Astyanax mexicanus: one gene and its partner. The protein of the gene in region 2 interacts with the protein of the main gene of each other region in a pairwise test. Links are inferred from orthologs where the notes say so. Each region holds a gene or a part of one and is shown on either strand. Other genes may lie near its edges.

Region 1 (3,921 bases), on a different chromosome or scaffold from region 2:
AGGAGGGGTGAGGGTGGAGGAGGTGATGCTGTAGGAGGCGATGCAGGATGGGTGAGGGTGGAGGAGGCGATACTGGAGGGGTGAGGATGGAGGAGGCGATGCAGGAGGGGTGAGGGTGGAGGAAGCAATGCTGTAGGAGGTGATGCAGGATGGGTGAGGGTGGAGGAGGCGATACTGGAGGGGTGAGGGTGGAGGAAACGATGCTGTAGGAGGTGATGCAGGAGGGGTGAGGGTGGAGGAGGTGATGCTGTAGGGGTGAAGGGTGTGGGTGGAGGAGGCGATGCTAGAGGAGGTGATGCAGGAGGAGGCGATGCTGGAGGGGTGAGGGTGGATGGGTGAGGGTGGAGGAGGTGATGCTGTAGGAGGCGATGCAGGATGGGTGTGGGTGGAGGAGGCGATGCTAGAGGAGGTGATGCAGGAGGAGGCGATGCTGGAGGGGTGAGGGTGGAGGAGGCGATGCTGGAGGGGTGAGGGTGGAGGGGTGAGGGTGGAGGAGGCGATGCTGGAGGGGTGAGGGTGGTATATATTTTCTCATTGTTAAGTAAATTGCTATCTCATTATTTTGAAATACAAAGTCTGCAAAAATCATTGTCAAAGAATCACTTAGTATCTCAAAATTATGATCTCATTATTTTGAGAATCTAAGATATTATTTTGAAATAACAGGTCAATCATTTATAATGCTGTCTCAATTCTTTTTAGATAATAATGGACTGTTTGAAGATGTATTTTGCTAATATAGTATCTCAAAATTATGAGAGATCGCATTAAGTCATTCATTTATGATGCTATCTCATCATTTTGAGACACTAGCTCATAATTTTGACATTTTGAGATAACTCAATATTTTCAGATGCTATCTCATTATGTTGAGAAGCTATCTCATTTTTTATATTTAGTATCTCAGAACAATGGTTTAGTACATGAAAGTGGAAGTAATTCATGTTTATTAAATGTCACATTATTTTAATATTTTGAGATAATATCTCAGAATTTATGTTTGTATCTCAGAGAAATGGTTTAGTAGATGTTATCAGATGTAATGAAGGTTTATTAGATGTTATCAGGAGCTGCTAATGTTTATACAGCAGGTGGATGTGACGTCAGTCAGACTTCGCAGCAGCAGCAGAATGGAGAAATAACTAAATATAAATCCGCTGCTTTATTTCTCTCTATCACTCTCTATCTCTCTGTTTTATCTCAGGGCGCTGAGAGAGAGAGAGGGGAGCGGTAAATCCGCCGGTTCGGTACCGCGGGGAGACCCGGAGTTCCGCAGACCCCGGTTAGTTAGTCCCTCCGCGCGGAGTGATACCGCCGCGCACTTTACAGCGTGCTCCGCCAGCGCACGCGCTCCTGCTGCAGAAGAAGTGCCGATAGTTGATATTATTACTACTACTAACTCCTGCGTCTCCTCCGCGCGCGCTGCTGCGGTAAGTTCAAACAGATACATTGTTTCTACTTTCTTTTATCTCTCTTTTTATGTGTAACGCGCGCGCGGCTCCGCTGTCCCGTCGCTCCGCGAGCGCCCCGCTGCTGTACCTGCGCTCGCGCGCTGTTTCTAAGGTGAGGAGGAAACTAGACAAGTAAACAAACAAACAAACAAACACACAAACACGCGTGCGCGCGCCAGGACGCGAGTTCCTTCTTTTAGCGCAGGAACGAGATAACTGTCCGCTTTAAACAGATAAAACTGCACGAGTTCAGTCCCGCGAGACTCTGACTGATTCTGCCGTCTGATCCACAAGTTACCCGCTCAGATCAAAGTAGCGAACCGCTGCTAAACAAAGTTACAGAGACACATTGTAACCATGCATGAAGCACAACACACACTCTCAGTGCACGCTCTACTAGTTACTGTGCAGGTAAATCAACCCCACGCGCACTGCTGGCAGCAGCCGTTTGCACGTGCAACTAGTAACTTGTAACATGTAACATCTAGCTTGTGTGTAACGCTGTTCTTGTGTTTGTAAAGTTTGCTGAGTTTGTGAAGGAGATGTAAACTGTGTGGCACCTATGAGTGGTGGCTTTGGCTACATATGTGTAACGTGTAACACTGCCCTTAAGTGTGTGAAGTTTGTAAAGGAGGTGTAACACTGCCCTTAAGTTTGTAAGTTTAAGTTGGTAAAGGATGTGTAGCATATGTGTTGTAGCTTTGGCTACATACATGTAAAGTTTGTAAAGGAGGTGTAAACTGTTACAGATAACACTGCCCTTAAGTTCGTAAAGTTTGTTGAGTTTGTAAAGCAGGTGTAGACTGTGTGTTGTGGCTTTGGCTACATATGTGTAAAGTGTAACACTACCCTTAATTTTGTAATAAATGTGTAGACTGTTACATGTAACACTGCCCTTAAGTTTGAAAAGTTTGTTGCGTTTGGAAAGCAGGTGTAGACTATGTGTAACGTGCAACACTGCCCTTAAGTTTGTAAGTTTAAGTTTGTTAAGAAGGTGTAGCCTGTGTGTGGTGGCTTTGGCTACATATGTGTAACGTGTAACACTGCCCTTAAGTGTGTAAAGTTTGTAGAGGAGGTGTAACACTTCCCTTAAGTTTGTAAGTTTAAGTTTGTAAAGGACGTGTAGCATATGTGTTGTTGCTATGGCTAAATATGTGTATAAGAAGGTGTAGCCTGTGTGTGGTGGCTTTGGCTACATATGTGTAAAGTGTAACACTACCCTTAAGTTTGTCAAGTGTGTTAAGTTTGTAAAGGAGGTGTAGCTTGTTACATGTAACACTGCCCTTAAGTTTAAATTGGTAAAGGAGGTGTAGCCTGTGTGTTGTGGCTTTGGCTACATGTGTGTAAAGTGTAATGTAACACTACCCTTAAGTTTGTAAAGAAGGTGTAGACTGTTATATGTAACACTGCCCTTAAGTTTGTAAATTTGTTGAGTTTGTAAAGTAGGTGTAGTCTATGTGTAACGTGTAACACTGCCCTTAAGTTTGTGAAGTGTGTTAAGTTTGTAAAGGAGGTGTAGATTGTTACATGTAACACTGCCCTTAAGTTTAAGGTGGTAAAAGAGGTGTAGCCTGTGTGTAACAAATAATACTGCACATAAGTTTGTAAAATTTGTTGAGTTTGTAAAGGAGTTGTAGCCCATGTGTGGTACTTACAAGTGGTGGCTTTAGCTACATATGTGTAAAGTGTAACACTGCCTTAAGTTTTTGAAGTTTGTAAAGGTGTAGACTGTGTAACGGGTAACTCTGCCTTTAAGTTTGCATGTGCAATGTGTAACATGTAACACTGCCCATAACTTTGTAAAGTTTGGAAAGGAAGTGGAGCCTGTTGTGTTACATGTAACACTTCACTTAAGTTTGTAAAGTTTGTTGAGTTTGTAAAGGAGGGGTGTGTGGTGTCTGACTACATGTGTGTAAAGTGTAGCACCGCACTTACTTTTATTTTGTAAAGGAGACGTAGCCTGTGTGTTATGTGTAACGCTGCCCTTGAGTTGGCACGTGTAACATGTAACACTGCCCATAAGTTTGTAAAGTTTGGAAAGGTGTAGACTATGTTATGTGGAACACTGTTCTTAGGTTTGCAAGGTTTGTTGAGTTTGTAAAGAAGGTGTAGCCTATGTGTTGTATGGAGGTGTAGTCTGTGTTTTACGTATATTACTGCCTTTATGTTTAAAGGAGGTGTAGCCTGTGTGTAACCTGTAACCATTAATTTTGTAAGTTTGTAAAGGAGATGTAACCTCTGTGTTGCATGTAACAATGTCTTAAGTTTGTAAAGTTTAAGTTTGTTGAGTTTGTGAAAACTTGTAAACATTTGTAAAGTTTGTAAAGGAGGTGAAGCCTATGTGTTGTGTTTAACACTGTCCTTAAGTTTGTAAAGTTTGTAAAGGAAGTGGAGCCTATGTGTTGTGTTTAACACTGCCCTTAAGTTTGTAAAGTTTAAGTTGGTAAAGGAGGTGTATTACTTAAGATAC
Region 2 (3,921 bases):
TTACCAGATCTCTGGTGATTTCCCGTCTCTCCATTTTGAACAGGCTGGGAAGCTGAGCTAACACGTCCTGGGTTGAAAGTGGGTGAAGGTCTACCGGCAGATCCTTGGCTCTGCTGGGCTTCTGGGTTCAAGCTGAACGCACTGCTGATCTGTAACCCGTTTTCTGCTGCCTCTACCTCCTCCACGGCAGAACCTGGTCCACTGTCCCCAGTCAATGATGTCACACTTGTGATTTTAAGGTTCATATCCTCTTGGGCACTCTGAGTTTCGGATGTTTCCGCTGACGTTGAAATGGCAACGTCTGACGTCCCTCCTAACGTGGTAACGCTGGCAATTTTGATTTCTGAGTCTGGTTCAGTGCTGCTCAAGGCATTCCTGGCCGGACCGACTGCCAGTGAGGAAGACGATGATCCTCTGTGTTCAGAATCTTCCTCATCGTCTATAACAATAGGTTCACTCTGGCTTTGGAGCGTTGTGGTTACGGCTGCCGCAGAGGCAGCAGCAGCTGCAGAGGTGGGAGGAGTGGGTGCTTCGGAGGATGCTGTTGCTGTGGTAGCTGACTCCACACAGTCTGTGGTTTTGGCAGCATCGAGGGCCTCGACAGGTGTGGGGGAGTCTGAGGGGGTTGGCGGCTGTGTTCCCCCCTGAGAGAGAGCAGGAGGCCCCTCTACTAGCACAACATCATCATCATTATCCTCTGGAGCTTTGGGCAGGTCTGTTGTCATGGCACCAGCTTCACCTTGATGCTGCCCATCTGAGGAAAGATCCGTTGCAGGTGTGGCTTCCATGGGCTCCTCCTCCTGAATCGAGACCTCCTCCCCATCTGCCACAGGCTCCAAGTCTCCATCCATCACTTCAACCACCTGTTGACAGCGATGTCAGGAAAGAGAAGAGAAATAGCTCACATATGCTTATTAAATAGTAAAGCAATGCCCGAACCCTACCTAGGGCTGGACAATATTGCCAAAATGTTTATCATGATATGTTTATTTTGTTTAGTTGATATAATATCATTCAATATATCCAATATCTCCTGTGGTATACATCACACACTGACACTGCCAGGCTACGGAAGTCTAGTGTTCTTGTGCTTTCTGCTCGGCTTTGAAAGAAATAAACTAACAGCAGTGCCGTGCAATAACTTAAATTAAATGTACTTCATTTCAAAAATATACACATCATAAAAACCTGGATCTCCTTTATTATTAGGACTCTTATCTTGAAAAGGTTTACTTTTGTTTGATTCAATCGCACTCAGCTGGGTGAACAAGCATTTTAAAACCTAGAACTTCAGGTAAGTCACCATGATAGCAGCCGGAGTCAGCCGGTTGAAGCCATGATGCTACCAGACAAGTCAGTGTGGTTTAGCAGTGAAACTAACCGCTGGCCTTGGCAGGCTTTAAATGTGTTAAATGTTTCCCTGAACTGGAATACTTGCTGATATTTGAATGACAGAATACTGGGTTTGCTGTGATGCCAAGAGCTTCCCACAACGTCTACTGTTTAGTGAGTCTAAATTTGTTTATGAGAAAAGTGTCACACTGCATACGATATTGGAACCATTACTGTAAAATTTTGGTCCACCTAAAAAAAACTTGCCATATTTTTAATGAGCACTTTGTTGCTCTGTTTGGTGTGCACCAAAGGAAAATTAGATCTTCAACTGTCCAGCTTTGGTCATCATGCACTCACAGCTTTCTGTCCTAAGCTAAAAGAAATGGAACCCATCATGGTTTGATGTGCACTCATGTTTTTCTGCATCAGATGGAGGTTATCTGAGTTTCTTTAATGTTGTGGTGAAAAATCCTATATCAGCAGTTACAGAAATCCTCAACCTGCCCATCTAAAACCAACAATTAAGCAACGCTTTTTTTTTTTTGCATTTGGATGTTTAATTCGAACATTACCTGAAGCAGCATGAGTTCATGCATTGCAGTGGCCATCTGCCCAAAAGAAACACTGTGCAATGCAGGTGCAGCTTTTGTTTAATATGTTGCCAGAGAGATTAAACAACCCCTTACATACATGCATACATACATATATATCAAAAGCTAATGAACAAAGAAACTGATGCTCACTGTATCCAAGGCCTGCTGCTATATTATTACGTAAAATGTCATCATGGATGTCCCCAAAACAGGACAATACAATCAGTACTGACGCTATCAAAAATCAAGGAACCAACCAGTGATCTCCTAAACAGTAAAGCTACTGTATTGTGTGCTACCAGATTATATGGACAAAAACAACAAAGCTCACTTCTTAATGCCATACACATCCATGTTATGCTTCTCTCACAGCATGAATTTTATTGTGATACACAGTATACTTTTCTCATCATATCAGGGCTGTCTTCAGTGCAAATTCTAAACATGCCTGTTCAAATATTTATGGACAGCAATTTTACTGCATGCATACAGATGCAATAATTTGCACTCATTACGGACACAGATGTACAAATGTACACTTAGTTTTGTCTAGGTGCTGTAGAGAAGCATAGTCAGATGAACAGATGAACATGGCAGATGAACATGACACTACTGGCACCATGCCTAATGCCAGGTGTGGGGCAGAGGGGTATAAAGTCCCCTAGTATTAAGCTGTGGAGCAGTGGAACTGTATTTTTTGCAATTACGGTGTTCCATACTATATTTCTGGATAGTATTGTGGATGAGGTGTGGTGGTTATTATCCAACATTGTGATCAGATAAATGCTCTCGTCTGTGAATCAAATCCGCAACAATGCTCTAAAATCTAGCAGAATGTCTTCAACAAACAGCAAAGACGGTTACTTCAATATAATTAGAATAAAACTAATGCCCTTGATTTGGGAAGAAACGAATGAGCAGGTGTCCCACTCCTTTTGCCAAGTTAAGTGTATATACAGTCATATGAAAAAGTTTGGGCACCCCTATTAATCATTTTTAGTTCTATATATTTGGGTGTTTGCAACAGCCATTTCAGTTTGATATCTCTAATAACTGATGGACACAGTAATATTTCAGGATTGAAATGAGGTTTATTGTACCAACAGAAAATGTGCAATATGCACTAAACCAAAATTTGCAAAAGTATGGGCACCCTTATCCTTTTATTGATTTGAATACTCCTATTTTTTCTGACTTACTGAAGCACAAAATTGGTTTGGTAACCTCAGAGCTTTGAACTTCATAGCCAGGTGTATCCAATCATGAGAAAAGGTAGGATACAAAGGGAAGGATACAAAAAGTTGTCTCAGAGATTTAACCTGTCAGTTTCCACTGTAAGGAACATATTAAGGAAATGGAAGACCACAGGGACATTTCTTGTTAAGCCCAGAAGTGGCAGGCCAAGAAAAATATCAGAAAGGCAGAGAAGAAGAATGGTGAGAACAGTCAAGGACAATCCACAGACCATATCCAAACAGCTGCAGCATCATCTTGCTGCAGATGGTGTCATTGTGCATCAGTCAACAATGCAGCGCACTTTGCACAAGGAGAAGCTGTATGGGAGAGTGATGCGAAAGAAGCCATTTCTGCAAGCACGCCACAAACAGAGTCGCCTGAGGTGTGCTTTTGCATTTGCATACCTCAGGCGACTCTGTTTGTGGCATGCTTGCAGAAATGGCTTCTTTCGAATCACTCTCCCATACATAGTGGATTGTCCTTGACTGTTCTCACCATTCTTCTTCTCTGCCTTTCTGATATTTTTCTTGGCCTGCCACTTTTGGGCTTAACAAGAACTGTCCCTGTGGTCTTCCATTTCCTCACTATCTTCCTCACAGTGGAAACTGACACGTTAAATCTCTGAGACAACTTTTTGTATCCTTCCCCTGAACAACTATGTTGAACAATCTTTGTTTTTAGATCATTTGAGAGTTATTTTGATGAGCCCATGATGCCACTCTTCAGAGGAGATTCAAATAGGAGAAGAACTTGCAAT

The links.
Region 1: the proteins of zmym2 (region 2) and foxp1b come close enough for resonance energy transfer, tested with the Homo sapiens proteins (2 studies listed by BioGRID). The link is inferred for Astyanax mexicanus from reciprocal best matches to the Homo sapiens genes ZMYM2 and FOXP1.

Annotation. Positions count from the first base shown.
Region 1 is NC_064412.1:2,036,513-2,040,433, forward strand, and holds the start of foxp1b (forkhead box protein P1-B), read left to right. Parts: upstream 1-1,336; 5' UTR 1,337-1,430; intron 1,431-3,921. UniProt on the Homo sapiens protein: Transcriptional repressor. Can act with CTBP1 to synergistically repress transcription but CTPBP1 is not essential. Plays an important role in the specification and differentiation of lung epithelium.
Region 2 is NC_064418.1:25,236,164-25,240,084, reverse strand, and holds the start of zmym2 (zinc finger MYM-type protein 2), read right to left. Parts: upstream 2,270-3,921; 5' UTR 1,944-2,269; coding exon 1,908-1,943; intron 864-1,907; coding exon 5-863; intron 1-4. UniProt on the Homo sapiens protein: Involved in the negative regulation of transcription.